Canis lupus familiaris: one gene and its partner. The protein of the gene in region 1 binds, or shares a complex with, the protein of each later gene. Links are inferred from orthologs where the notes say so. Each region holds a gene or a part of one and is shown in the gene's direction. Other genes may lie near its edges.

Region 1 (3,994 bases):
GAACAATGATCTGTCATTCCGTTGGGCTTGCAAAGGGGATAAAATGTAAGGCCCTGCTCGCTCACTCAGCTGGGTCTTTAAGACCGGGTTTGTAAAAGGCTTTGAAGAAAAGTGCTGTAGAGGTGCTAAGTAGCAGCCAAGAGACCAGGCCCGCTGCCAGGGGGTCAGGCCTGGGCCGAGGCGGCCGCGGTCTCGGGCTCTGGCCAATTTTGCAGCCGCGAGTAAAGTTCACGCTGCCCGCTCCCCTCGGTGCGGCCTGGAGGGGACCGACCCGGATAGGAACGCCAGAAGGGAGGCGGCGCAGGCTCCGAGAGGCGCGGGCTCCGGGCCGGGTTTTCCCCGAAGCCTTCAGCGGCGGCGCTGCCGAGCGAAAGCGGCAGAGGGCCTGCCGCCGCCGCGGCTCGTTCTCTCCCCTCCTCCTTTGTGAGGGGAAGGGAGCGAGTCCGTTCCATGGCCTGCGCCCGCTCCGCGCTCCATTCCGGGTTTGCCAGGCGGCCGCGACGGCGCTGGGTAAAATGGCAGTGCTGAGCCTCGTGTCGGAGTGAGGGGGACTCGGAGGAGAGTGGGGCGCTCTAGCCGCTCAGTCCGGCCGCCCGCCCGCCCGCCAGCCCGCTGCCGCGCAGCAGCCTCGGCCCGCGCCGCGGCCGGGGAGGGGAGGCAGGGCGCCCGGCCCGGCCCGCGCTCCGACTCTGCCTCCCGGCGCCCGGGCTGCTGCCGCGCGCCCTCCAGCCCGCCCGTCCCGGGTCCCCCTCCCCCCGCTCCCTCCCTCCCTCCCTCCCCGCCCCCTCCCCCTCGCCTCCCTCCCTCCCTCCCTCCTCCTTTCTCCGGCAGCAGAAAGCGGAGAGTCACAGCGGGGCCAGGCCCTGGGGAGCGGAGCCTCCACCGCCCCCCTCATTCCCAGGCAAGGGCTTGGGGGGAATGAGCCGGGAGAGCCGGGTCCCGAGCCTACAGAGCCGGGAGCAGCTGAGCCGCCGGCGCCTCGGCCGCCGCCGCCTCCTCCTCCTCCGCCGCCGCCAGCCCGGAGCCTGAGCCGGCGGGGCGGGGGGGAGAGGAGCGAGCGAGCGAGCGCCGCGCAGCAGCGGAGCCCCGCGAGGCCCGCCCGGGCGGGTGGGGAGGGCAGCCCGGGGGACTCGGCCCCGGGGCGGGGTGGGAGGGGGGGAGAAGACGAAGACAGGGCCGGGTCTCTCCGCGGACGAGACAGCGGGGATCATGGCCGCGCAGGTCGCCCCCGCCGCCGCCAGCAGCCTGGGCAACCCGCCGCCGCCGCCCTCGGAGCTGAAGAAAGCGGAGCAGCAGCAGCGGGAGGAGGCGGGGGGCGAGGCGGCGGCGGCGGCAGCGGCCGAGCGCGGGGAAATGAAGGCAGCCGCCGGGCAGGAGAGCGAGGGCCCCGCCGTGGGGCCGCCGCAGCCACTGGGAAAGGAGCTGCAGGACGGGGCCGAGAGCAATGGGGGTGGCGGCGGCGGTGGAGCCGGCGCCGGCGGCGGGCCCGGCGCGGAGCCGGACCTGAAGAACTCGAACGGGAACGCGGGCCCTAGGCCCGCCCTGAACAATAACCTCACGGAGCCGCCCGGCGGCGGCGGCGGCGGCAGCAGCGATGGGGTGGGGGCGCCTCCTCACTCAGCCGCGGCCGCCTTGCCGCCCCCAGCCTACGGCTTCGGGCAACCCTACGGCCGGAGCCCGTCTGCCGTCGCCGCCGCGGCGGCCGCCGTCTTCCACCAACAACATGGCGGACAACAAAGCCCTGGCCTGGCAGCGCTGCAGAGCGGCGGCGGCGGCGGGGGCCTGGAGCCCTACGCGGGGCCCCAGCAGAACTCGCACGACCACGGCTTCCCCAACCACCAGTACAACTCCTACTACCCCAACCGCAGCGCCTACCCCCCGCCCCCCCAGGCCTACGCGCTGAGCTCCCCGAGAGGTGGCACTCCGGGCTCCGGCGCGGCGGCGGCCGCCGGCTCCAAGCCGCCTCCGTCTTCCAGCGCCTCCGCCTCCTCGTCGTCTTCGTCCTTCGCTCAGCAGCGCTTCGGGGCCATGGGGGGAGGCGGCCCCTCAGCGGCCGGCGGGGGAACCCCCCAGCCCACCGCCACCCCCACCCTCAACCAACTGCTCACGTCGCCCAGCTCGGCCCGGGGCTACCAGGGCTACCCCGGGGGCGACTACGGCGGCGGGCCCCAGGACGGGGGCGCCGGCAAGGGCCCGGCGGACATGGCCTCGCAGTGCTGGGGGGCTGCGGCGGCGGCGGCGGCGGCGGCAGCAGCCGCCTCGGGAGGGGCCCAACAAAGGAGCCACCACGCGCCCATGAGCCCCGGGAGCAGCGGCGGCGGGGCGCAGCCGCTCGCCCGGACCCCGCAGGTACACAGCTGAGTGGGGAGGGGGCCGGGGCGAGCGGGGTCCTGGGAGTGGGTGGCGGCTGCGGGGAGCAGGCCACAGCCTTGGGCTACCCCCAGTCCGGGGCCCCCACTGCTGGGGAGCTGCCATTGTCTGGCTCTTCTCTTAAAATGGCTGCCTGTCTGCCTTCCTCTCCTTCCCTCCTTCAGCCTTTGTGTGGGGCTTTCCCTGAGGTGTCTGCTCCCCTTCTCCCTCTCCCCTGGTCCCTTCGCGCTCCTGGGGTCTTCGAGGGGGTGCGGGGCAGAATGTGCGGGGAAGGGCCTGGCCCGGGGTTGAGGGGTGTGTTGGGGGCTCAGGTTGGGGTGTGCAGAGCTAGGAGCTCGGGAGTTGAGTGAACAATTCTTTGCTCACCTGCCGCTCCTCTCTGCCCGCCCTCCTGCCTTCCTCTAGGCCGTTCCCCATCTGTGCTTTCAAGGAGGGGCCCCTCGGGCTCTGGGGTACCTCGGGGGAGGGCAGGGGCCTGCTTGGGGGCAGCTAAAGGCCGGCTGCGGTTCACCCAGGGCAGCCCGGGCCATCTCCTGTCTTAGTCTCCGTCGGCCCAGTGGCCTGGGCTTCTCCCTGGAAGTGCTGGTAAACAGCTGAGTGATTGGAGTAGTAAGTGCAGATTGCTTTGGTTTGGGATTTGAATTATGGAGGTAAAATCCTTCTGTCAAAGCCAGGAGACAGTTGGTCTTAGGTTGACATCCTATCTGTGATCTGATTGGCTCCCCATCTCCTGCTCTTGGCCATTTATAATTGCCTCTGATGTAATGGTACAACAATCCTGATGAGCTCATAAACTTTTACACTCTGCTTTTCTGCCAGTGATAACCCAAACCATCGCTGCCACTATCTGCCTTTTATTCCAGAGCTGAAATTGGCTGTGACCTTGAGGAGGAAGGTTTAAGCAGCAATACTGTATCAGCAGGAGCAGAGCCCCAGACAGGCTGCCCTTGTTACATTGTGCCGAAACAAAAGAGGAGGCAGTGGCATTTTGCTTGTACCTTGGATTTATTTTGCTTGTTATGTTTTATGCAGCCTGAAATAGATTCTGTGTTGTCAGAACAGTAGCTGAGTTTTTCTCTACAATGGGTTTGCTGTTTGTTTTGGTTTTGTGACTTTCCTGGTGGTATAAATGACTTCTTTGATGGCTCTGAAGATGCATTTGTCTTGAGTAATTTTGACCCTGTTCGCGTTGCAGAATTGAGATTATTTTACTGGGATTTTTATTGAGTGACAAATGTGGGATCTTTATGGGAGGGGGTAGAAGAAAACTTTTTTTTTCTTTTTCTTTTTTTTTTTTTTTTTTTTTGAACTGGAAGCTTCCTGAGAGAATTTCATATTACGTTCAAGTGTTCTGTTTTAAGGAAGACTGGCCTCATTCTTTGTTTACATGTTGAATCTTGTTAACTCTTTTGTTAATTGAACTTTGAGAAAGCAGCTCAATTTAAAGAGAAGCCGATATCTTTTATGATCTTGGGAGGGACTTTCTCCTAAAGGCCTGGTTTGGTAAAATTTATCATTTGTTCCTGGGATATCAAAAAGGCTAGTTTTCTGTTTTGTCATCAGTCACTTTAGAGCTTTGAGATAGAGGTCAACTAATTTTTTCTTTGCATTTTAAGGTATGTTC
Region 2 (4,237 bases), on another chromosome or scaffold:
CCCGGGTCTTCGAAGGCTCCCTGCCCACCCGCGAGGACTCCTAGCGTGGGCAGGTGCAGTCTGGGAACTGGGGCTGCGAATTCGGTTCCAGTAAAACTCGTGCCCTCAGGTCGTGTCCCGCACCCCTGCGCGGTGAGGAGCGGGGGTGGCCGCCCGCGCCGCGCAGCCCGAGGCCGCGGGGGTCGGTCCGCTCTACGGAGCACGTTCCGCGCACATTCCCCGCGCGCGGGCTGGTCCCAGCCGGGTCACGCCGTCGGACGGCGGGCGGCGGGGAGCCCGGGGCGTCGTTGGCGCGCGCTCGCTCCCCGCAGGTGGCTCGGCAGCCGCGGAGAACAAAGGCGCCCGAGGGGCGGGGGCCCGGCCGAGCGCGAGGAAATGGGCCGGCGCCGCCACAGCCCCCCGCCGCTGGGCGCTCCGGGCGGCGCCGGGACGCGGGGACCCCGGGCGGGGGGCGGGGGCGGGCCCCTGGACCCAGGGCGTGTCGGCGGAGACCCCCGGGAGACGGGGGCGGGGGGCCCAGGGCTCGGGGAGGGGCGGGGGGGGGAGGGGGCGGCGGGGACCCCGGGGCGGGGGCGGGGCGGCGCGGGCGCGGTGGGAGGAGAGGGCTGACGCGCGGCGGGGCCGGGCCGGGGGCGCGGGGAGGGGGCGGCAGCGAGCGCGCCAAGTGGCGGCGGGCCGGGGCGGGGCTGGGGGCTGAGGGGACGGCGGGAGGTGGGGCCGCGGAGCGCGCCGGGCTGCGGCGGGCCGGGAGGTGGGGTGGCGGCGGCGGCGGCGGCGGCCGGGCGGCGGGGCGGGAGCGGCTGAGGGCCGGGCGGCGGGGACCGAGGGCCGGGCGGCGGGGGCCGAGGGCCGGGCGGCGGGGGCCGAGGGTCGGGCGGCGGGGGCCGAGGGCCGGGCGGCGGGGGCCGAGGGCCGGGCGGCGGGGACCGAGGGCCGGGCGGCGGGGGCTGAGGGCCGGGCAGTGGGGGCTGAGGGCCGGGCGGCGAGGCTGAGGGCCGGGCAGCGGGGGCTGAGGGCCGGGCGGCGAGGCCGAGGGCCGGGCAGCGGGGGCTGAGGGCCGAGCGGCGAGGCTGAGGGCCGGGCGGCTGAGGGCCGGCGGCCGGGCGGGGGCGCGGGGCAACGGGGCGCGGGGCGAGCCGAGGCCGGGGGCCGGCGCCGCAGCGGGGCGGGCGGCGGGGCTGACGCGCGCGGGCGGCCGGCGGCCTCCTTCCGCCCCCTGAGCCGCGGCGCCCGGGAGGCGCGCTGGCGGCGGCCATGGCGGTGGCGGCGGCGCTGGCGGGCCGCGGGGCGCGCGGAGGCAGGGGCCGGCCCCCGGGCGGCGGGCGGGCGGAGGGGGCGGGGCCCGGGCGGCGGGCGGCCCGCGCGGCGGCGGCGGCGGCGGCGGCGGCGGCGGCCGGGACGAGGCGGCGGCGACGGCGGCGGCGGCGGCGCGGGGCGCTCGGGCTGATGGCGGCGGCGGCCGGGCCCGGGGCGGCGCTGTCCCCGCGGCCGTGCGACAGCGACCCGGCCACCCCCGGAGCGCCGTCCCCGAAGGTGAGGAGCGGGGCCGGGCGGGGCGGGGCGGGGCTCCCGCGGGGGGAGCGGAGGCCGCGGCCGCCGAAGCCCGGGTCCTGGGGCGGCGGGGCGGCCGCGGGGGTTCGGAGCGCGCCTGGCGGCGGCGGCGGCGGGGACACCGGCCCGGGCGGGGCGGGGCGGGCGGGGTGACCCCGGGGCGGCCGGGACCCCGCGTTGCCGCCCCGCAGCCCCGGGAACTTAGTTGGAAACTGGGTCCCGGGGCGGCGGGGGCGGCTGCGCGGGGGGAGCGGCCGCGTGCGGGCAGGCGGGGCTCGGGTCCGGGGGCCCCGGAAGCGGGCGCGGGGGCGCGGGGTCGCGGGGTCGCACCTGCGGCGGGAGCCCACCTGTGGCCGCGGCGGGACGGCCCCCGCGCACCTGTGCGGCCCCCGCCCTCGTCCCAGCGACTGCTCTCAGGACTTTGCAGGTTACCTTTTTTGGGGGTATTTCAACTTTTAAAGCAAAGGAAATATACTTAAACCTAAAAATCCTTAAAATGCTTAGTCGTGAGTAAAACGGCAAAAACCAAAAAACAAACAAACCAAAACAAAACCGTAATACCTGAATTTGCTTATTAAAGGGAGTTGTTCCCGAATCGTATTGTCTCCACTCTGATTCTTACTGTTAAATGCACATTTTTGGAGAATAACATGTATTCTCTTCTCCATCTCCTACCTGGTTGCCTTTCTTAATGGGATTAGGCAGTTTTTTGATGATTATACAGGAGCTACAAAGGACAACCTGCCATACACACACACACACACACACACTATTTGAGAAAGAATCGGAGTCGGTTCCTAGTAGCGGAGCCGTTTGAGACTTTCTGGTTGTCTCGCGGGTTAACTTTTATAGGACACTTCATGACCCGCTAGGCCCTGCTCTGAGCGCTTCCCGCGTGTTTAACTCCTTTAATCCTTGCATTAGCCACGTCATGAGGCCCCGTTATCGCCTCAGTGTTACGAAGAGGAGGCGGCTCAGAGGGCACAGGCTCAGCTGGTGGAGGCCAGCGCCCAGGACGGTGCCAGGCCAGCCTTGTACTCTGCTGGATTGGGTTCGTTTTACCACGTAGCAAGAAGACCATGCTATCTAACAAAATTGTATTCATCTTACGAATCTACATTTAATTGATTTTTTTTTGTTTTAGTTATTTTCGTACGCCTTACGGTCATTAAGCCTTAGCTAGTAATGTGAATAAGTCAATTTGCTAACATCTGATGGCTCACTTATGTTCTGAATGGAATGGCCCAACTAGAGTCTTGGTATTAATGCCTCACCACAGATAATGTCACCTAAAACACTTAAGCCATTCCTCTTTTGGTGGGGATGCGCGTCTCTTGCTGTATCAATTGATGACTCTTACTAGGGAATATTTTTGCTGAATTTTTGCAATGTAAGAAAAAAACTGACAGGGTTGGTAACCTGTTTTTAGTCTTTGCATTTTCTTTTTTCATGGAAATAGAAGTATATAGGACTCCTTTATTTTTTTTTTTTTTTTTTTTTTTAAATTTTTTTTATTTATTTATGATAGGCACACAGTGAGAGAGAGAGAGAGGCAGAGACATAGGCAGAGGGAGAAGCAGGCTCCATGCACCGGGAGCCCGATGTGGGATTCGATCCCGGGTCTCCAGGATCGCGCCCTGGGCCAAAGGCAGGCGCCAAACCGCTGCGCCACCCAGGGATCCCCTATAGGACTCCTTTAGAATAGTCCTATCAACTCCCTAGCAGTTGAGTTAAACAGGAAATGATCTACACGTTTTTTTCCTAACTGGGGTAGGAGGGATTGCTTTAATATTAAGAGTGTTAACAGCAATTTTACATGTTTGTTTTTAAAGTACATGGCATTTTAACTGCAGTTGCTAAGAAAGGAAAAGTAGATTTACATTTACAGGGTAATTGTGATTTTTCTTTTTTTGATTGTATAAAAGATCACTTTTTGATTATTTTTAGATTTTTTTCTCAGGTCTTGCCATGCCAAAATCTTGGCCCTTCTTAGTTATAATAGAAAGTTAACATGTGTATAATCATTTGTCATTAAAGAACCTTTAAGTGGAGCCTTGTAGCAAGTCTGGGAAGATACATAATCATTCTTATTTTTTATTGTTTCTCTTCTTATGTTTTGAATTTTTTGAATGTATAGGATGATAATGAAGATAATTCAAATGATGGGACCCAACCATCCAAAAGGAGGCGAATGGGCTCAGGAGATAGCTCTAGGAGTTGTGAGACTTCAAGTCAAGATCTTGGGTACTGTCATTTTATTGCTTAATAGTAGTTGTGGTGTATTTCTCTCCTCTGCGATACCTCCCTCCTCCCCGGCACTTCAGCTGCCACCTGCACCCTTCCGGAACACTTCACTACTGTGTGGAAAGGTCTTAGCCATGAAGCAGTGACAGTTGCCAATTCCCTCCTTCCCCACGGCTGGCAGCCCCCGTCCCCCTCTCCGTGTGACGTAGGGCACCTCACGTAGGTGGAGTCCTACAGTATTTGCCCTTCCATGTCTGGCCTCTTTCCACATGATTCCTTGAAAGCTCATCCATGTTGTAGCGTATGTCAGAATTTCTCTTCAGGGCTGAACTGTGCTCCGTGGGGGGGACAGAGCAGCTTTCGTATGTCCTTCCCTCTGGGGACGGGCCCGGGTTGTTTCCCGCTTTGGGCTGTTGGGAACAGGGTTGCGGTGACGTAGCTG

The links. The genes of interacting proteins can lie anywhere in the genome.
Region 2: ARID1A (region 1) and PHF10 share a complex: the UniProt entries of both Homo sapiens proteins name them as parts of the neural progenitors-specific chromatin remodeling complex. The link is inferred for Canis lupus familiaris from reciprocal best matches to the Homo sapiens genes ARID1A and PHF10.

Annotation. Positions count from the first base shown.
Region 1 is NC_049223.1:72,795,366-72,799,359, reverse strand, and holds the start of ARID1A (AT-rich interactive domain-containing protein 1A), read left to right. Parts: upstream 1-1,194; 5' UTR 1,195-1,209; coding exon 1,210-2,349; intron 2,350-3,994. UniProt on the Homo sapiens protein: Involved in transcriptional activation and repression of select genes by chromatin remodeling (alteration of DNA-nucleosome topology).
Region 2 is NC_049233.1:72,437,697-72,441,933, reverse strand, and holds the start of PHF10 (PHD finger protein 10), read left to right. Parts: upstream 1-1,437; 5' UTR 1,438-1,446; coding exon 1,447-1,533; intron 1,534-3,688; coding exon 3,689-3,795; intron 3,796-4,237. UniProt on the Homo sapiens protein: Involved in transcription activity regulation by chromatin remodeling. Belongs to the neural progenitors-specific chromatin remodeling complex (npBAF complex) and is required for the proliferation of neural progenitors.